Linked DNA regions of Mytilus edulis. The protein of the gene in region 1 binds, or shares a complex with, the protein of each later gene. Links are inferred from orthologs where the notes say so. Each region holds a gene or a part of one and is shown in the gene's direction. Other genes may lie near its edges.

Region 1 (7,166 bases):
TTCCACAATAAATTAATTTGAAATAATTGTTGAAAAGAAGGTACGGTACATTTGTAGTTCCTGTTAACTGAAAGTTAAAAATGGCATCCAATCATAAGTTTCTTCATACTGATTGAATAAATAATGGTTTTCTATATACTTTGATGGGAAATAAGGGAGATAATGTGCTACTTCCGGTGAAGTAAATGTCACTTCCAGTCTCATATGATAGCTTCTTTCACACTGATTCCAAAAATATATAGTTTCTAATACTTTTGTTTGTAAACCAGGAATAATTGACCACTTCCCGCTTATCAAAAGTCAGTTTAAGTTTTAAGTGATAAGAAAAGGTATCAAAATTACAAAATATATGGATTCAGAGTAATTTTTCATGAAAAAGTGCAAAAAAGGTTACTTCCGGTTTTTTTCAATGTCACTTCCGGTTGTCAATTTTCAAGGTCATATGTCACCCAACCTTTTGTTAAAGGTCATTTGGCTTTATAATGAACCAAGTTGAAGTAATAATCAATTAACCTTATAATTAGACATTTCAGGGGCACTAATTCTTATAAGATGCCATGAGATTGTATCAGACCAAATGTAACATATCTTCATTACCATAAAGCAATCATTATGCACTTGTTCTTTTATTCATATCTTTTAAAGTGTTGGAGAAAATGCAAAAACAAGGAAAAGTCACAATTGAGAACTTGACCTTGACCTTTCTAAGTAAGGACGTAGGGGCCTCAAATAAAAACTTTCCAGGGTTATAGGGTAAATGGTTTATAAGTTAATAACACATACCGACAAATTTATTTCGTAAAGGTAGATAACTCATATAAAAGTTCATCGAATCGCTTCGATTCAAATTAGCTAAAAATTCCTGAGGCTGTAACGAACAATTTGTAAAAGAAATTTTGTCAATATCTTTTTTTGTTACGAAGGAGATGCACTCTGATGATAAACAGTGAATAGGGAGATAACTCTTACAAAGAAAATGGTTCAGTTTAGCAGGGTGAAATTTAAAAGCACATAAACTATACGATACAATATGAGAAATATCTAAGCGACATATTGCGAAACAAACATTTATCGCAAGAACAAAATTTGGCTGGAACAAAAATAAATAATCAGAACAAATACAATAGTTCTTTCCACAGAAAAGTGGAAAGACCTAATTAAACAACTGTGATTTTAATTCTAACCAATATTTGATTAAAATACCTACTGTAAAAGCTGCACGTCCAAATCTTACTACTCCAATGGTAGAAACCTCCCAATCATTTTTATACAGAAAATAGCCTGACCCTGTTCCTAGTCCTCCAACAGTCAGATATTTCAAGGTTTTCTTGAGGAGGTGTCTACTCATTCTACACGATCTGAAAAAAATAAGTCCCAAGTCAAAATTGTATTTTAGTGGATATTCAGTGGTTGTATATGTTGTAGTTGGTTGGTGTTTATCATATTTGGTTATTAGTTTTTAGGAGAGCTGTGTTGTAGTGGTTAGCGCATCAGAATACTAACACAAAGGTTCCTGGTTCAATCCCCATTCTAGAGATAATTTCAGAGACTCATTGTACATACTACAAGGCTGCACTCACACCTGCAAAGTGGAAAGGGATTAATATAAGTTGCAATAACTTGTTTCCAAATGTAAATAAATATGTTTAAACTAATATTTTTTTTTTCTTTTTCAATGAAATATTGTTTTGTACCTTAATTAGGCTGTTCCCATTTGAATAGTTTTTACATTGTTATGTCAGTACTTTTCTACTTTCTAAGCTACATAGCTATATGTTATGGGTTTTGCTCATTGTTGAAGGCCATACAGTGATCTATAGTTGCTTACATCTATGTCTTTTGGTTTGTTTAGGATAGTTGTCTCGTCAGTTATCATTTCACATCTTATTGTTATGATGCATTAGATAATTATATTTCATATGAACAAAATGATAATTTTTTTTTTTGCTCAAATGCACAGGTCTTAGATGAGCTAAAGTTAAAAAATCTCTATATATACAATGTCATTTGCAACTTATGGGATGGTTCAAGACATTTAATACAGTCTGTGCCAAAAACTTTTTCATCTACTAGTCCGGAAACTAAATATGAAAACTTGTACCTATATGACTATATAAAATTTTGAAAATTTCCACTAGTCCGAATCAATATTTACTAGTCTGGGGCATCAGACTAGTGGCTAACGACGCAGACTGAGACAATCAAGGCAATTCACTGTTTGAATGGTTTTACACTAGTAATTTTGGGGCCCTTTATAGCTTGTTGTTCGGTGTGAGCCAAGGCTCTGTAATGAAGGCCATACATTGACCTTTAATGGTTTACTTTTATAAATTGTTATTTGGATTGAGAGTTGTCTCATTGGCACTCACATCACATCTTCATATATCTATCTAATGATTGAAACTGGTAACTGTCATTAGTGCTATTGATTAATTCGATGTTTAAAAGCACATTGTCACAAATTAGGTAACAGATTCAACTGTCACTCAGTGTCCAAACTCAGATTTCAAACTGATTTCATACTAAAACATGTTAATCAAAAGTCAAGGATATGAAATGTATTTAAAAAACCAAAATATAAAATAAATTATTCAACACAAGAAATTAAAGTCCATTTTAAATGGAAAATTATACAAAAAGCATCTTTTAGGTAAGTCACATCCAATCAAAAATGTGTTGATTGGTCACTCATTGAATATTTTTCTCTATATATGAATTCTTCGATTAGTTATTCTATAGTTATTGCAACAGTAAATTTACGGTAAAATTGCACTTAATTTATTTCGAAAATCGTGTCGATATCTGATACATGTATGTAAATATATTTTCAAAACCACTCTGGCAGTGTCTAGTGCGAAATGACCTAGGGCGAAGCAATTCATTTCAAAATGACCTGGAGCCTAGCTTCTCAGTGGGAACAGAAACCAAGGTGAAAGGACAATACACCTTATCACTAATCCCGGCTGACCCGGCCATTTGAACTTTTGACGCATACAACAATCACTTTTCCATTGTGGCGTCAGATATTTTGTTTTATGACGTCAAAATTTTACGGGAACCTGTGTGATATTCATTAATGGCAGATAAATAGCGATAAGATGTATGTATACAGTCGTTCTATTTTTTTCACTCATATTTTGATCTGTTGACAAACTGAATCATTTATTCCTAAAATTGTGTTGATGTTATTTGTTAAAAAATACAGTGATTTTTTTTCTTCATCTAAATGAAGACTCTTTTAAGGGGGTCTCAATGGGGGATTCTGATCCCAGATCCCGCTTACTGTTTTGTCAGATTCCCATATCCCGCTTACACTATGTACGTAAGCAATTCTCACTTTTTGGAATTTCCCATGTACCGCCAGATTTCATTTCCCGTTTTCATGGCACAATAATTTGACACGTGTCATGCTTACAAAAAATCAGCAATCCCACTTCACGCTAAGACCCCAATGAGACCCACTGTTTATGCAATGCCAATGACAGTCCAAATAATTATGAAGCCTTGAAAGGCTAGCGCCCTAGCGTAAGGCGTCAAAGAAAAAAAACTATAATAGCCTGTCGAATTAAGGCGTCAAAGAAAAAAATTATAATAGCCTTTCAAGACGTCATAATTATTTGGACTATGGATCACTATGCAAATGAATCAATGAACATAAAAATATAACAAAGTCAAAGGTCAAATCTGAAGCTGATTCAAGAACTGTCTTGAATTTCTCATTGAAATATCTTCGAAATTGGGTCCAATAGCTTGCTATTTATAGTATGATACAGGTTCGGGATATATAAATTTTGAAGTGACAAAATAAACGTCAGTGTCCATACCCTTGTCTTTCTTAGTTCTAGATCGTCTGTTTCATAATCCTCAATCCTCATGATCATTTACACACAACGAACGAAAAGTCATAGTGAATTCCGAATGAGTGACTGACTTTTTCGTTGTTTTCGAAAAGAAGGTAAAGGGAGGGAATAAATACGTAATATCGACAAACAAGATGGCGATGAAACTTGTGGAGTAAGTTCCAAATTGTTTTTACAATATACATCTAATAATGGTCAATACAATTATCGCAAAATGTCAAATAAATAAAAAGTTAACCAAATTTTGTAAAAATCTGCACTTTCAGGCCCTACTCAGCTCCAAACTAATAAAACACGCGACAGAACCGGTCTTTGAACATTACGAGGGTCTGAATGGGTGATGAGCGGTACTTTATTTTATGTGTATTCTTAAAATTAACAACCTTTTTTTTTGTTACCTTCAAAATTGCGCTTATTTCATATAATCCACACTTGCTAATAACTTTATTTTTTTCTCATATACATAAGGGGGACGCATAGCCAATTATTCGTCTTCGTAGGCTCTTCGGTTTTAAAAGCTCTGCAGAGTTTATTTTTGTACAGTTGTACTTGTAATGCATCTATACCGACTCTAATTAAAGTTTTATGTCTTATGTCTAGGCTACGTGTACCCACCTTGGGTTTTATAATTTAATGTCATCAGATTCAGAATAATAATACACCTTATTGCTTATCCCGGCTGACCCGGCCGCTTGAACTTTTGATGTCAACAACAATCACTTTTCCATTGTGGCGTCAGATATTTTGCTTTATGACGTCAAAATTTTACGGTAACCTGTGTGATATCCAGTAATGGCGGACAAATGGCGATAAGGTGTATTAGAATAAAGGAATAGTTTTTTGAATATTGGAAATTTGATCCATTAACCCACTGAGCCAAAGAATCGATTCCCCAGCTCAGTTGATTAACCCTTTCAACGCTACACAAAGAAATAGAAAAATGGCTGCTGCTGCTGCATTTTTTTGTGACTTGTGTTCATTCATTAGAACAGTATATTTCTTTTCAGACTGCTGTATCTTTTTTATTATAAGAGATACAGAGAAAGTTATTGTATGAAAAATGCTCAGGAGAGTATGAACTGTAATGTTAGGCAGTTATTTCAGTAAAATTTTTATCAGGTTACCTGCATTTTCAGGTAATTACCAGGTAAAAGGTGTAATTTATTACATTTGTGTTGAATTTTGAATAAAAAACTAATTTCGTCTTCATCTATTTTGTTGTTTTATCTGCCATATAATAAAGAAGACACCAATTGCTCGATTCCGTAGCGTATTGCACCATACACAAGGTATTATGTAATCGTGGCACAAATCAGTGGCTCCGTCCTCAAAATTTTCAGTCAACCTCCGTTTTCCCCCCTTTTTCTACGTCTCGTAATGATCGATCAATTCATATTTCCTACACAAATTTATTGTAATAAACACATTGAGATAACAAGAAACCTTTTAACTAATCCTCGTTGTCAGTTTCACCATAGAAATGCTGAAATATATCCATATTTACAGCTTCGTTTTCCAATTTACGCCATTTGCATATTTGTCAAAATATTTGTTTTTATTGTCCTCCAATTTTCCTTCTACTGCATGATTTTACAATAAAAATTGCCGGGATTTCAAGGGCAAATAAAACCTTGCATATCCTCGATTCATACAAGAAAAAAATTTAAAAATTGGGGCATGGGCAGCCTGCCCCCCTTTTCATGGGAAAAAATTTGTTGATTATATAGGGAAACACTGAAGCATGACTGGAGTGCCCCCCTTTAGGTCAGTCAGCAGGCACTCCCTTTAAGGTCAGTCAGCAGCCCCCCCATTGGGAGGTGAGGGGACACATTGATCTCAATTGACCCATTTATCAAATGTAAGGTGGCATACAACTGTAAGCTGGTCATTGAATCATTGCCCTAGTATATATACTGATTTCAGATTTATGATTGATACACAAATCAGTTATACATGTGACTGTGTATGACAGTCATGACAGTCACTGTTATTTTGCCTTCAAATGATTTATGTCAAAAAAAAAAGATGTGGTATGATTCCAAATAAGACAATTCTTTAGAGACAGAAAGCACAGAAATTGACTACAGTCACCATACAGCCTTCAACAATGAGCAAAGCCCATACTGCATAGTTAGCTAGAAACGGCTCTCAAATGACAAATGTAAAACAATTCAAATAGAAAACTACATGTAACTGCTTTATTTATGTAAACAAAAATAAAAATGAATGTAACAGATTTCCTGACGGATATAAGTTTAAATTCATTTGTTTTCAAGTGTTTAAAAAAATAATTGGGTGCTCTTTTCCCTACAATTGTTGCTTCTTTCTATTAGGCCATACAAAATAAAATGTTTGTTTGCCCTAACCTTACCTACCCAGAAAATATCTGCATACTCAAAATCTTTTACTGAACATTCTGATATGCATGAAGAGTAAAAGACATCTGACACTTCAATTTCTCTTTGCCAAAAATAAGAAAAGAAAATGCCTTCCTACCAACTTCCTACTGTTTTTACCTTTAGGTAGGGTTTGGGCAAACCAAAATATTTTTTAAGTGTGGCCTAACAGTAAAAGAACATCTTTATTTAAACTTATTTTCATTTCAGTATATTGCCTTCACCGGTGCAAAGATATGACAGAGAAGATGAAGATAGGTCATTTAGACAACAAATGCAGGTACAAACAAGGAACACATTCATCATAGAAAATCAGATTCACATGGCTTATATTGTTAGATAAGTTGTAAATGAAATATTGATTTGACTGTGCCTTCTGAGTTTCTTATATATTTTATTCAAATGAAATTTGAAACAGTCAGAGCTCCAGATAAGCTGCGTATTTGCGTGATCACGCAATACAAATAATAAAAAACCCAATGCAATTGCCCATTGCAGGGTTCAATAACCCAATTAATTCAAAGGAAAACCCATTATATTCCAAAACCATGAGTTCTCCACCCTTTTATTGGCAACCATTTGCGTTGTTTACCCTTATCTGTTTACAGTCGTCGTGTAAACTATTTTTATTTTTTATAATATTTATAATTGGAAATTTCCTTTCTTTCTAAAAATAGATCCCTGCATCAAGTAGCTGAAATGGGTCCCTGTTAGAGTTTGCCGTTGCTCAATAGGTACACATGTTTTTGAAAACGTTTCGATCTTCTCGACGTCTATCCAATTAACGTGTGTCATGCAGTCATATTTTTTTCGCATTGCTCGGGTTTTATCATAACATACATTGAATTAAAACGAAAGTGAATGTTCGGTTAAAATATTGAATAGAAGCATGTTTTCTGCTTCTTTTGAA
Region 2 (7,395 bases), on another chromosome or scaffold:
AGTTATTATTATTATTCCATCTATTTTGTCCGGCAGTTTTCTCGGAGCAAATGGAACCAATCTTAATGATAGTTAACTATAATGAGGAACACAAAATTCCAGGTTGCAGTAGGTCTTAAGACCATAAAAATGGCTGCCGTTACCATGGAAACGGAACAATTGTGAAACTGAAATTCCAGTTTTTGGTTTTAATGAATTATTTGGAGTTGCTTTAACTTAGAATCAATATATTTTGATACAATGTAGGTGTCGGGCATATACTGGTTTTAGATGATTTTGGCAATCATTGGAACTATCATGTTGCCATGGAAACTACACCAAAAATTTCCAAAATATCAAAATGCTCCAAATTTAATAAAACTCCACAGTAACGATGAGCGACATTGGAAGATGTGCAATTTGGCGTTGGAATTTCAAAAATGTCTGCCGTTACCATGGAAACAAGTCAAAAATGGTGAAAATGCTTCAAAAACCTTAAAGTGGCATTTACTTTCTTAAAATGGTAGGTCAAATCCATTGAAACTTTGATGGTATATATATGTTCCCTCCCATGTACCAATGTGGTATTTGCCATTAGAAATTTGGAATGGTATCTGTTACCATAGAAACCAGCCAAAATGTCAAAATTTTCAAAAATTTCAAAATGCTCCAAAATTGATGAAACTTACTATATTTGTTGACTGTCAAGTCTACATGAGACTTTTGAAGTTGGAATTTCCAAAATGGCCACCGTTGCCATGGAAACTGCAGAAATGTCAAATATTTTCAAAATGCTCCAAACTTAATGAAACTTAATATTATTGTCAACTGGCATGTATAAATGAGACTTTTGACTTCGGAATTTTCAAAATGGCTGCCGTTGCCATGGAAACAGAAGAAATGTGAAACTTTTGACAATGCTCAAAATGTACTGAAAATTTACAGAAAGATATATCGCAATGCGTTGATCTGCATTCACTGTTAAATTGTTTTCAAATGGTTGCCGCTTAGTGGCAATAGGGGAAGGGTGACATCCGCTATTGCTTGCAATGGCAATTCTAGTTTTCTTTTCTTTTTATCAATAGCGTTTGTAGTTTATTTCAACTTATTAGGCTTTATTTGTGATGACTTTTAAACTACCAATACTAAAGTCAATCTAAAGTATCTGCAATTCTCAGAACTAAATGTAAAAGCCATACCAGTGCATGGAGAATTAAAGTTTACGTGATATTGAGGTACCTCTTGGTGACAGTACTACACGGAGCATTTCACGCATGTTATCATCATCCGGCAACTGAAATCCAACGATATTTTATAGATAATCAAATACCATGGGCCGCGTTCAATATCGTAGCTGCTACGTAGTATATTTTGATTATTGAATGTGTAGCTATAGACTAGCTGCTACATATATATTGATAGCATGCAGCTACATATATACGTAGCCGCTACGTAGCTGCTACGATATTGAACTCAACCCTGGCATATTACTTAGCAAGGAAAGATCATGTGAGCGCTGGCTAAATTCATTACTTAGCAGATGAACTCTTGTAATGATGAACACATGGGACTAGATTTAAAAGTTCGGCTTTTCCAAAGCTTTGTATATAGCCACGTCCCTGACAATCTCGTGTTTAATTAGCAAATGCGACTGTTAATTGCTGTCAAAAGATGAAAAGATATGAAGTGGGTAGTCAGCTTCCAATCTGAAAATACACTTTCTTTCTTAAAATAAGCAACATCGACAATTTAATCAGTAAAATATAGATCTCTGATTACGATTCTCATATGTAGTTTAACGTAATCAGATATCGATATTTTAATTAGATCGCAACTGCGAATTTTTAGAAGTACCTTAAATAAAAGTCGAGTTTTCCATTTATTCCTGCTATATGCTATAACTGCTCTCCTTAGGTAGTTGCATCATATAGATCATGTAAAGGCCAGGTAATTCCAAATAATAAATAAAGAACTGCGCCATTCATGTGCGCATGATGATACGTCGCCTGTCGGTAAATAGCTCTACAGAGCTCATGTTTACCTTGTTGAATTGTTTATATCATGCCCGACTCTAAATAAAATTTACTTACCCCCCCCCTTTTATAAAAGTTCTGGATCTGCCACTGTTACTTACGGTGTTTCAACGAATACAGTTCTATTTCTCCTCAATGTCATAAAAGAAATTTATAATAAAATAAAAAAAACATAAAGGGAGCATTTCTTGATAAATATAAACCAGTCACCAAAGTTTTATGAAAACTGTTCGAAGCTTTTTTCAGTTGTTGTCCGAAAACTGGAAAATCACCTTTTTTGCGAATAAAATCCCTTTACTTGGGAACATAAAATCTAAAATGATTAAAATCGAATGGAAGATTACGTCAATGGATATAAAGTTTCATGAAAATTGGTTATTTAAAGCGGTTTTGAGTTATTGACCCATATTCTGACTAAGAACTGACGGACATACGGACAACAGTATACCATTTTACGTCCTGCAAAAGAAGTTCAAAAGACAATAATAGCCTTCAGAAATATCTGGACGCCATGCAGCATTTGAATTCGACATGGTTGACACTGTTTACCCCGTTTAATGTGATGTATATATAGAGGTTCATATACACTTGCAGTCCATATTAATACACATATATATAATGTATAGGAATACATCATACATGAAGCAACATTCACATTTCAACAGCTATTAAGCCGGAGAAGTACCAATATACCAGGGGTATGTCTGCTATGTATCATTCCGCTCAGACTGGTACTAGGGACCGTTATAAACTTGCCGCATCAAGTTAACGATACAGCGGGAAGAACCTTAGTGCGATTGTTGTAACATTAAGAAGCCCTGTTAACAACTATTAGTGAAATAAATTTAAAGTATCTGAAGTTGAAAATAAAACAAAAAAAAACTTGCCGCAGTGAGGTGAGAGGGGTATATGATGCTTCTAGTTGAAGGCCTCGGTGTGACTTTGAGATGAAAACAGCAACAAGAGCGCTGTTTATTTGCTATACTGATTTTGTGTCATGGATGGATACCCCAAATCCTTTATTTTTTCTATTATTATATCATTATCTTATTCTGAACTAATAATGGACTATGATAGGATAAATAAATATCGCCATCAAATAGATCAATCCCTAACACTACATATTGCAAAACTTGTGACTTAATTAACCAAGACATGCATTGATACTAACAGGAAGAAAAGAAATTATTAAACAGTTGAACACATTGAACACCCAGACACGGATGTGAAAACACCTCTGTCACAAACAACAAAAGATACCAACGAAAGAACAGCACATATTTATATGATCTTAGATCATTTTAGGAGTTTTAGGAGATTTGATCTAGCAAGCCCAAATCCTGATACCTAAAAATTAAGGTACCGCGAGTTATCACTTAGCCTGAGAAACTAGGGCAGTGACTCATATTTTTTTCCCTTTCTTTTCTTTTCTTTTCTTTTCTTTTGTTCTCTTCTCTTTTGTTCTCTTTTCTTTTCTTGTCTTCTCTTTATGTATTACTGACACCAGTAGACTAAACTGAGAACGAGAACCACCATATAGACATCTAAGACAATGGAGTGAGTCCCCAATGGAAGAAATAATCTTTTTGTTATGGTAATTGTAGAATCAGGATTTGAAACAAAATAATACACATAAGACAATGACCGTTTTTTCTGTTTCTTTTTTGGAGTATTTTTTTGTATTCTTTTATTTTCTATTTGACAGTATTTCAAGGCTAACAATATTTTTTGTAAACTGTTCAGTTCAATTTGTCTCCACTAGTCTGGAATGTTATGACAGCTGATTCTATAATTTAAAGTACCAAGTTTCATGAATTGAAAATTTAAATAATGTTATCAAGAGGGGGGGGGGGGGGGGTTATCATGTAACCTTTTGATATTTATAAACCTGTTTTGGCCTTTTTCAAGGTGTTGTTTTAAAACTGTTATCTGAAATGAATTTAAACTGTTAACTGTTTTCAACCCACTGTGTTAATCAACATTTTTGAATTTGTTGTTTTGTTGTTAACTGTTTTTGCCAAAATTGAGATGTAGTTAACATGTTAACGGACCCCTTATTGTCCCCTTTCTTATATATGTCGCTGTTAAATTATGCCAAACACATTGGTCTCTGAATAGGCCAATTGTAAAATCATAAACTCCAATCGACTCCTTTAATGTGTGAGTGATGATTGATTAGTTCGTTATTATATATTTACATCAATCCTTACAATGGTAAGAGAAACAAGAAATGGATAGTAATTAATTCAATCTTGTCGGCTTTTTTAAAAAGCTAATATTTTGCCCAAAAGGGTAACAGGAAGGGAAAACCATTTAGTACCAGTCGCTAAAAACTTTCAGCAGGTCGTTGTTATGTTTTATCTCAAGACCAAAATAGGCACTCGGTCAAGCGTTTAGTTCATACGTAAACAAGACGAGCCGGTTGCCGCCATTATTAATATTTTTTCCTGTACATGGTATACAAATCCATGTAATCATGAAGCTTGTGAGGTAATAGCAATTCCAATAATTGGAATTTATATAGATGAATGAAGGGAAGGTGCAATAATATCGTTATTTTGTGGATTGTTGCAAACATTCATTAAGAAAACTCCAATTAAAATGACGAGTGCCCCACGCTAAGTCTTTATCAAATATATTGAACAATTTATATGGAATTCATCCCTCTGTGACATAGTTTCTGATATGACGGAACGCAGTATTTTCTGCACTGGAAGCCCTTTCCATTAGATGCATAAATTCACCTCTTCAGTCTAGAATGTTTGCATATTTTTAAACCTGTTTTCAGCTATGATACGAGAAAAATATATTTGACAGAGGCGCTTCTTCCCCCATTTTTGTTGCTTCAATCTTGTCTTGATTGACAAACAATTTACAAGTTAATTCAATGTACAAGATATATACATGTATCTGATTTTGAATCCTTTTCCTGATCCGGAGCCCTCCAAGCACAGGCACTCGTATATACCTTTATATAACACAAGTAGTCCGAGATTACTCTGACGTCCAACGGCTGTTTTGCCAGACAAGCTGGGGCCGTGGGACGTCAGAGCTCGTCCCATATCAAAAAGTGGATATTTTCCCACCCAAAATAGATGCGCTGCTTCGTCGCTTCTGGTGCTGACTGACGGCCTTGGAATTATATAAATCGGGCATCAATCTGTTCATTTTTCATTTATCTCTTCATTTATGTAAGTTTCACTTACCTGCCAACCTTTATTTTCTCATTATTAGACAGTTTTCACAGTGACCCATCGATTTCGGCATTTTGACATTTGGTAAACATGGTATAGGCAAATCAAATACTATTAAAACAAAACAAAGGGAATTGCATGTACTTTATCAAGAGCAAAAACGGGGGAGGTCTACATGTTTAGCTATGCATGATTCTGACATCCATCCTTTGAGTTTCTGGGAATAGAATTGAAGACGTATGTTCTGTATTTGCCTTGCAGACTTCATTGACTTTTTTATAATACAGGTTGGGGAAAATACTCATAAAATTGGTATTGGGTACCAACATATATTGACCAATGTTACTGGAATTAAATAAGCTGACATCAGGTACATACTGTTATATAAATTTGAAAAGCCAAACATGTAAAACATTTCGCAAAATAAAGTAGAGCTTTAATTTGTGAGATGATCATGAGTCTTGACAATTTTGATTTTGTTTTACAGATTTTTGATGAAATTGTCCCACGAGACAGTCACTATTGAACTAAAGAATGGAACACAGGTCCATGGAACAGTAACAGGTATTGTCTAATTGCAAAACTTCGATAAAAAATCCCTGCCTTGGATACTTTGCAACAGCACTGTACCTATTTTTTTTGCAGATGGAGACCATTATTCAGAGCAAGTTACAAATTGTACTGTATTTTGGTTAATGTTTTAGTCGGATATTGAGTTGTCAGATTTCACTAAAAAGATAACTGGTTATAAACCCATTTTGCATACTATGCTTTTAACTTTTATATGTCATTTATGGTATCTTATGTTTAAAATTGTGCTCTTTTAATGACTGTATGTGTGTACAAATGTATATATTTTGTTATTCACTGGATTTAAAACCTGAGACAGTAGAGCTTGTGTTTATATACTATTAGTTTATTGAATATCAAATACATATTATTTAATTTGGTCTTATTCATAATACGAACAATAGTCACATCGAATAAAGCTTATATAAAATTCCTTTATGACTAAAAAAACAATGCACAATTATATAAATGAATTTTAACATTGAAAGATGATTATATTTGTAGGGGTTGATGTCAGTATGAATACCCATTTGAAATCTGTAAAGATGACAGTTAAAAACAAAGACCCAGTACAGCTGGACACACTTAGTATCCGTGGTAACAATATCCGATATTACATCTTACCTGACAGTTTGCCACTTGACACATTATTGATTGACGACACACCTAAAGGACGTGGTGGATTTAGAGGTGGAAGGGATAGGGGTAAGTAATCAACATTTTATGTTTTTTAGGTCCATCACTTTCACCATTAAATAGGGAAAATGGTCAATAGACAGCAACTTACAAATTAATATCTCTGAAAGTCACAAATAAATAGTTGAAAATCGTACAAACACACAAAAAAACTCTTGTACTAGTTTCTTTTTATGAAATACATTAGTACTATTATTAATAATAACAGTGAGGTTGAAACACTTTTCAGACAGTGACAATTATTATTTATTAGTATGGTAGAAATCATACTAGCAGTTGTCATGGTGGTAAAAGTTTTGATATGGTTTGCAATTCCCACAAAGTTATTAAAATATACCTGTAAATAAAAAAAACGTTTGTTATCATCGAATTATAAAAAATTGAAATTGGGATTGTTATAATACATTATAAGGTTAATATAAAGAGTTTTCCAATAAGCGTCAAAACAGGATCATTGAAATTAGATAGAAGGTTAATTAATTTTGTGAAATCTACAATGTGGTTTGTGAACTTAATGCTTTTTCAATTGGCTCTCTTGATTATTTGCTACCTTGTTACAATATGGTTTTGAACATTGTAATGCTGTCACATTTGACTCAAATTATATTTTTATTTCAGGTGGCCGAGGAGGTAGAGGAGGACGTGGTGGTCGTGGCGGTAGAGGTGGTGGTGGTGGTGGAATGAGAGGTCGTGGACGAGGGCCACCAAGAGGAAGACGATAAACTCTTTTATGTGTAAAATCAAAGACAAAGTGAAAGTAGAAAGGAAATCTACAGCTATATATTGTTTTTTGACCAACAGCAAAAAATTATGTTGTAACTTTCTTTTATTCTTTTGTTATAATATTCCTGATAACATGCAGACATGAAGAAACACTATTCTTTTGTGAAATTTTTTCAAGTATTCTCAAAATCAGGAAATAA
Region 3 (8,107 bases), on another chromosome or scaffold:
AAATTCAATATAAGAAAAAGATCTGAAATTCTAAAATATCAACCTAAAAAATACATCTGAATTTCAAATATATGCTTATATCATCATCATTTGTATACATTTGTATTTAAAAAGCTTCATGCAAAAGAGTTACAATATATTTCCACATGCATCAATTTAATAAATATGATTAAAATTTAACCATTATCATGATTGTGTTCAATTATTCTTTATTCTCATCCAAAATATGAGTACAGATTACTTTAATAATTTTGACAGAATAAACAAACATTGTGTGATTTGAGTCTACAGATGCAGTGTTATAATACCCATTCCAGTTATAATTCTGTGGTTAGATTATTTTACATGTGTATTATTAGAGTGGCACACAAGTTTTAAATTACAGCAATCACCAAATCAAAGAATCAATCACAAGAGAACTTCAACAATCTATTACTCAAATGTTAAGATCAACAAAACACTGCTAACCTACATTTATAACATACCAATATTGAGGAAATTTTCTACTTTATAACAGCAGCATGTTCATTTGTATTTTGAAATTTCTACATACTGCTGTATAAATGTATGTACATGTACTGTATGTGTATTCTTCCATTGTATGATAAAAAATTGTAAATACTTAAATTTGTTCACAACTAGCCTAATTGGTGCAATTTTAAGAAAGGGGAGATAATCCTTAATATAAATACTTACTTTTCCATGTTTGACAATGTAATCAAACAATTCCCCTCCTCCCACATATTCCATCACCATGAATATGTCTGTAGGAGTACTTATCACCTGGTACCTGCCGGAAACAGGTCAAATTAGCAAACAATCCAGTGCTATTATATAATATCTACAGAATTTGTCTCAAAATGCTTTATAACTTCCAGAAATGACGGCAGATTATGTCTGCAATACATTTTATACATTGAATGTGACCAAAAATTTATTCTCACAAAATGGCCATGGTCTGATTTATAATTTGATTAAAAGCCATTTCAATTTTTAAGTGTCTTTCAAAATAATCAACATGGTTCAAGATGACCATGTTTGCTTCTGTAAGTTGAAAAAACATTTTGAGACAGTCTCCTATCTAGTGCTTTAGACTTACTTTGCCTTTCTTGACAATATAATCAAACAGTTCCCCGCCAGCCACGTACTCCATAACCATAAATATATCTGTAGGGGTACTCATCACTTGATACCTGAGGTTTTATTACGCAACAAAAATTAACCATCAAATTAAATACAACCAAAATTGGAGTCAAATCAGTATTTTTCTAATTTGACAAGAAAGTGTTTGAATAAAAAAATTTATCTACAAGTTTTAAATGAAAACTTTCCTGAATAAAATTAAGATTTAACATAAGAAGAAAGGCATGTAAAAGGATTTTAAGTCGACTTGAAAAACATAGTACACAAATACATGTATGTAAAAAAGTGTCTATTTCATATATATCATGTATATCTACATGTATAATTAACATGAATAAAATTGATACATATAAAACTTACATTTATTAACTAAATTTCTTATTATTCTCTCTGTAAATTAAAGTCTAAGACTCTATGGTCTCATAAAATACAACACAAAACAATTCAAGCGATTCCATCAAAGTAAGATTGTCTCAATGTCAAAGGCATCTAGGTAAAATTAATATTTAATTGGACTATCATATACATGTAGACAGGATAAGACAACTGATATACAAATGTCTAATTTTTAAATGGTCCCACTTTTGAAATTTTTCTCTGTATTTGCTTTAAACTAGCTAACTAAGTTGAATGATATCACCAAATATTTTGACCGAATAAATCCATGTACATGTATCAACTATCAAGTCATGTTTTTTTTATGATTGTTGCTCTTAATAGAAATTAAACAGAGATTTCAGAAATATATCTATAAATAGGTATTTGGAAGGCATCCCAAAATGGCAATAAGATTATCCCACATACCGGACTATTTCTTCCCACAAAATTTTGACATTTTACCATGATCATCATCAAAATTCAAAATACTTTACATGTACTTGGCTAAACAATTCATTACATCAACAAAGACTGGACTAAAATATTTGTTTTATATTCTAGGCAAACATGAATCAGACCAAAAATAGATATACCTTTTAATTCTAAAATATTTTTTTCTTAAATAATGTAACCAGATGACCTTGACACTTGAGCTTTGATTGATATCAAATAAGGTTGAAAAACAGAGCCAAAGTTTGGTGAAGACAGGAAAAGGAGAATCTACACTACTCACAATCATTCCAATGAAGTTACTTATAGATTGTTATTTGGATTTTTTTCAGGTATTTTGTACAGAGATGAGTTAACTGTAAGCATGGTAAGATATTCTCAATAATTAAAACAAGATGGCTGACAGGAACAGTGATCATATCTAAAAATAATATATATTTTTTTGTAACATATTTCAAAATGCAAAAAATGTACTGAAATTCAGTGAAACAATATAGATCAACAAAGCAAATAAAATGGACATTAAGTCTTTTCAAATTAAAGAACAGAGAAGTGGAGTTAGTTTGAAGAGATAAAATTGAATCAAGAGACTAACCATACACAGTAAAGGAAACATTACAATGTTGACATCAGCAATCATATAAAATTATGCTATTTCAAACAACTTTTTTCTATATCTAAGGTAAGAATGGATCACTATTAAGAATCCTGACCAACTTTAATGCTCTAAATTCTGCTTCCAGTTAAAAAAAAATCTTATTCATCTACTACATGTACATATATGTAACATATTTGGTGAAATAAACTCCACCTACTATCTTAGAAATGTGTAAATAAAATATAATATTGTCATCATAATTGATAATTACAATGTATATATATATATATATGTAAGTAGTCAAGACAATTTTGTAATTTATGGATCCAAAATGTGCAAACTTTCAAATCTTGCAACAAAATCAAATTAATATAATATCCTTTTTCAGAGAAGACAGATTTGAATCATCCAAGTCAGAGTGGATTCTATTAAGTGAATGGATTTCTATAAACATGATAAAAGAGGAAACAAGAAATATAGATAACTAAAGTACATGTATGTATCACATACATACAAAACATGTATATACACATGAACAAGAAATGGAGATAACTAAAGTATGAAACAAATGTATATACACTTAAACAAGATTTATTACATTGGTTATAGAGAAGTATAATCATTTTAATCAAGTAAAAATTGACTTTTGACATGTCACCAATAGGTGTTTTCTGGACATTGTTAAAGACTTTGCATCAAAACAAATTAAAAGGCATAGAAAAAGATATAATTGTTCTAAATATAAGAATTTGTAAACTGAATTTACATTAAAAGCCAATACAATAAAAAAGAAATAATAATCCAAGAATTCACAAATATCCTTAAACATTTAACTCTTGATGACCAATCAACACTGAATTTTGTGAATTTATGTTTTGTTCGAATTCTGATACTTTTCTAATATTTTTGACATTCAAATTCTCAGATTACCGGTATACATGTATATACATATACATGTATAAAAATTACAATGAATATATTCTAAAATTAAAAGTTAATTTAAGAATATAATATCATACAATGTTGGAGACTTACAATTTAATAATGTGTGGATGTCTAAACAGCTTGAGGTTTTGTATTTCTCTTTTGATCTTAGACACAACATCTAAACTTTTTATTTTGTTTCTGTTTAAAATCTTTACAGCCACCTTATGACTGGTGATATAATGTGTCGCAACTGAAAAGAAAACAAAGCATACTATCATGTGTGGTACAATGTATGAGGTATAAATTACAATGTCAATGAATGCGAAGCAACTGAAATCGACTCATTTTGTTACATGTACATTCATTGTTGTCAATATAATCACAATTGTATTTTTAATGTCATACAAGTGAGAGGTTTGGCTAGTTATACAACCAGATTTAATCTACCATTCATGTACATATGGAAATGGCTTTACCAAGTCCAGAATGTAACAGTTATGTTCTATTTGTTTGATGTGGTTAAGCTTTTGAATTTGCCATTAAATAAAGGACTTAGGTTCCTTTGTTTTTGAAACACTTGACACTTACAGGAATTTGTCTAAATGACTGGTTTTTTTCCAGACCAGACTAAATAGCCATAAGGTGTGTTAGATGACCAGTAAGGATTTGGCTGAGTAATGAAGTTGAAGTTAAGTGACTGTCAGACACAGCTGCAGTTAAGTCCAAACCATTATGACATCTTGAACATGTTGAAAGGCTTTTTTAAATTTGTGCTTTATCTTCAGGTAAGGGAGCTACCATTTGATTTTTAGGGGGGAGGGGGAGGAGCTAGGTCACGTAGGTGGAAAAATTCTTGTCCTGCTTTTATTTATTTATTTCTAGTTATTATAATCTCTGTCCTACATGTACCTTTTCATATTTCACATTAAGCCTTTCCTCAATGAATTTCTTTTTTGCATAATTTTTTCAATAAAAAAAAAATCATAGACTTAGTCCCCATTCACAGGTAATTCCTGCCTCATATTAGGGAAGAAGTGAGGATGCCCCAAAACGCACTAATGGCTTTCACAAATATCAACTTTTTAAAAGATGTGAAACAAACTAAGAATAACTCGTAGGTTAATTATCATTTAGACAAGGTTCCAGTTATTTTTAATAGGAATTCTGTGTATACAAATTATGTCAATGACCTTCACCTTCTGTATGCCATATTTATAACATTGGTTGACCTTTTTTTATGGCAATGTCTGTAATAAACAAAAACACATACTTTTGACCTTTCCAAATGTCCCAGTTCCTAGTGTTTCACCAAGAATGTAGTGGCCAATCTTCACCTGACCAGCAGTGGCTGGACTTTTCTCCGCCATTGCAGTTTTTGTGTGAAGCTGTTTGACTGTTTCCTCCGTCGACTGAAGTGTTTACTTGCAGATGGTGCTACTTAAGTTGTAGAGGAATTCTTATATATCTGTTCATAAGATCAACATCCAACGTTTCATTATCAGCTCGATTTAATTTCCTATCAGTCTTGTAAGGCTCGTCTTGTTGGGTCCTTTCAGTTTGTCAACAATATGTCACGTGATTTGTAAAACTTTCGGAAGTCTCTGGACTTTACGTAAACTCAGATTTCCAATGTTTATTTCCGGTTAAATAGAAAGTAAAAGTAAGACTATATTCATCTGAAAAAGGCAAATTTCAACAAAATCTTTTACATTGTAACAAACTGTTGGTTAAATTTTTTACAAAAGCTTTATTGAATTCGGTTATTGAAATAGTGGATACCACATCTCCTTATTTTCATTATTTGTTATGAGGCAGGCATTCTGTAATCTGTATAATAAATTCTGCCACTGCCAGTCAAGGCACACCTCCAATTATAGCTGGAGTGACATCCACCACCACGAATATATATATAATTATCGGTCGTCCCACTGTCAATATCACTCTGTTCAGCTCATAATATTATTCCGTATCATGTCTTTGTGACGTCAAATACGTTGACTCGGCCTTAATAACTTTGACCCGGACATATCAGCGACGTCATAATGTTTGAACCGACATTAATAACTTTGACCCGAACTTATCAAGTCATCTTTTGTGTGCTGGTGAAACAAAGAAAACACTTCCGAAACACGCAAATATAGCCCGATAAATCGATTATCAGATTATCTGCATATTTATATTGTAAAATATCAGCTGCTTGACATTATATGAAGGCTACGCTCACTCGACAAAAAGCTTCATATTATGTCTCGCAGCTGATATTTTACGATATCAACATGCAGATAACCTGATAATCGGTACATATCACACAAATAATGGTTCCATCCACTGGAATATTATATACACAAATATCAATTTATACTATACGCAATAGGCAATTTTAAAATCTAAAATTATCTAAATAAGAAGTGATAATAATTAATTTTACCTTAATCCAAATAATTATGACGTCTGGCAAGGCTAGGAAGGCGTCCCAGAAAAAAATTAAAATAGCCTTGCTAGACGTATGAAGGCGTCCCAGAAAAAAATTTAAATAGCATTGCCAGACGTCATGTAACACGAGGACGAAGTCCACTATTACAGTAGAAAATTCAATAGAAAAAAAAAAGAAAAAAAAAATCGGGAAAATTTCCCGAATTTTTCATTGTACTAATGAACTCAAAATCGTTCAATTTTTTTTTGTCGCGTTTTTTAATTTCCGGATTTGCGCAGAACACATAACTCTACTTCCTTTTTCCGGTCTTGTTGTCGTGAGACTTTGATTAGTCTAGTAAAATATAGGAACTCAATGAACACAATACCAATATTTCATTTTTAATCATTCTTTGTCTTTCAAATTGGTATGAATAAACGTTACCTGATGCATTGCATTTCTTTGTTTACATTGAACATGACGTCATAACTTAAATAACGTCACAAGTAAAATCCCTAACAACAGAACCAAAATCGGAAACGTTACGGTATTTCCGTTTCTTTTTGTAACAAATATTTAAGTTACAAAAAAATTAATTTAAACAAACTTCGTCCCCATTCACAGGTAATGCCTGCCTCATATTAATTATGACGTTAAAATAGCCTTGCCAGACATCATAATTATTTTGACTAGCATTACCTGTAAATGGGGACGAAGTCTGTATTCATGTTTTTTAAATCAAACATGTTAAAAAGAGAAACAGAAATACTGCAACGTTTCCGATTTTGGTTCTGTTGTTAGGGATTTTAGTTGTGATGTTATTTAAGTTATGATGTCATATTCAATGTAAACAAAGAAACGCTGTCATCAGATAACGTTCTTTTTTATAAAAAAACAATTTTTAGAAATGAATTAGTATTGAGTTCCTTTCTTAGACTGATAAATATACATTTTATTCAAAGTCTCATGCAAACAAGACCAGAAACGGAAGTAGATTTCTGCGCAGATCCGCAAAGGAGTAGGGGCAATAAGGCCCTTATTTGGCCCAAAATTTACTGCAAATTTAAAAGTTATCATACATATTTTTAAATTACTGAAAAGTATCTCAGGTAGAAGGAATTCAGAAAAACAAAATAGTTTTGGACATTGAACAAGTTATCATGGCAACAAGTCATGCCTTAATTTGCATATTTTGTAAAATTTTGTGATTTTCCTTGTTTTTCATCAAATTTTTAAGTATATTTTCGATTGGAAAAGTATGTGCGCACCCAAGAAACAACTTTATATTTGGTGAGATTTTGTCAATAGTAATAAAGCTTCAGTTAAATTATTTTGTTGTTTCTTGGCTGCGCACAATGTTTCCACAACAGAAATAAAGATGAAAAACTGCATAAATTCTGAATTTTCATCATTTTTGTGAAAACAGTACATATTATGACGTAATTGTGACGTCATCACATAAGAATCTTAATGTTTTTCATTTATGTTTCTTGACCCTATGCAATTCTAAAGATTATGTGCCAATTTGAAAAAGTTATCAAAAATTTTATTTTCTTGGGCCAAAACCAGGCCTTAATGCCCCTACTCCTTCAAAAACGCGACAACAAAAATTTTGAACGATTTTGAGTTCTTTGTGCAATGAAAAATTTGCGATTTTTTTTTTTTTTTTTTTTTTTTTTTAATTTTCTACTGAAATAGGGGACTATGTCCCCATATCACAGAGTTTCACTATCACTATCAGGCATGTGCTATCTGCTATAGATCTGTCAGATCAGCTTCTAGTCTACTCCAAATAATAATGACATCTTGCAATTCTATTTTATTTTTTTCTTGGACGCCTTCCTTTAAAAAGCCTTGCAAGACGTTATAATTATTTGGACTACTTTTAGTTTAAAAGTTTATGAAGTCTTGAAATGTGTTGCAACCATGTTTTGCATATTTGTTTTTTGTTCAATTTTTACATAAATTAGGCTGTTATTTTTATTGTTTGAATTATTTTACATTGTAATTTCGGGGCATTTTATAGCTGACTATGCGGTATGGGCTTTGCTCATAGTTGAAGGCCGTTAGGTGACCTGTAGTTGTTAATTTCTGTGTTGGGCTCTTGTGGAGAGTTGTCTAATTGGCAATCATACCACATCTTCTTTTTTATATTGAAAGTCTATTTTATTTTTTTGCTTTTATTGCCTCCTGCGTCA

Evidence for each region.
Region 2: SNW domain-containing protein 1-like (region 1) and probable small nuclear ribonucleoprotein Sm D1 share a complex: the UniProt entries of both Homo sapiens proteins name them as parts of the minor spliceosome. The link is inferred for Mytilus edulis from reciprocal best matches to the Homo sapiens genes SNW1 and SNRPD1.
Region 3: SNW domain-containing protein 1-like (region 1) and armadillo repeat-containing protein 7-like share a complex: the UniProt entries of both Homo sapiens proteins name them as parts of the minor spliceosome. The link is inferred for Mytilus edulis from reciprocal best matches to the Homo sapiens genes SNW1 and ARMC7.

Annotation. Positions count from the first base shown.
Region 1 is NC_092346.1:18,106,453-18,113,618, reverse strand, and holds the start of SNW domain-containing protein 1-like, read left to right. Parts: upstream 1-3,910; 5' UTR 3,911-3,994; coding exon 3,995-4,014; intron 4,015-6,466; coding exon 6,467-6,536; intron 6,537-7,166. Other genes in the region: aarF domain-containing protein kinase 1-like, read right to left, coding at 1,208-1,348. UniProt on the Homo sapiens protein: Involved in pre-mRNA splicing as component of the spliceosome. As a component of the minor spliceosome, involved in the splicing of U12-type introns in pre-mRNAs.
Region 2 is NC_092348.1:3,032,963-3,040,357, forward strand, and holds the start of probable small nuclear ribonucleoprotein Sm D1, read left to right. Parts: upstream 1-4,366; 5' UTR 4,367-4,488; coding exon 4,489-4,502; intron 4,503-5,693; coding exon 5,694-5,770; intron 5,771-6,280; coding exon 6,281-6,481; intron 6,482-7,090; coding exon 7,091-7,194; 3' UTR 7,195-7,395. UniProt on the Homo sapiens protein: Plays a role in pre-mRNA splicing as a core component of the spliceosomal U1, U2, U4 and U5 small nuclear ribonucleoproteins (snRNPs), the building blocks of the spliceosome.
Region 3 is NC_092344.1:113,818,462-113,826,568, forward strand, and holds the start of armadillo repeat-containing protein 7-like, read left to right. Parts: upstream 1-5,078; 5' UTR 5,079-5,156; exon of another isoform or gene 5,157-5,172; intron 5,173-5,184; exon of another isoform or gene 5,185-5,218; intron 5,219-8,107. Other genes in the region: 5'-AMP-activated protein kinase catalytic subunit alpha-2-like, read right to left, coding at 1,100-1,193, 3,605-3,746, 4,767-4,863. UniProt on the Homo sapiens protein: As a component of the minor spliceosome, involved in the splicing of U12-type introns in pre-mRNAs.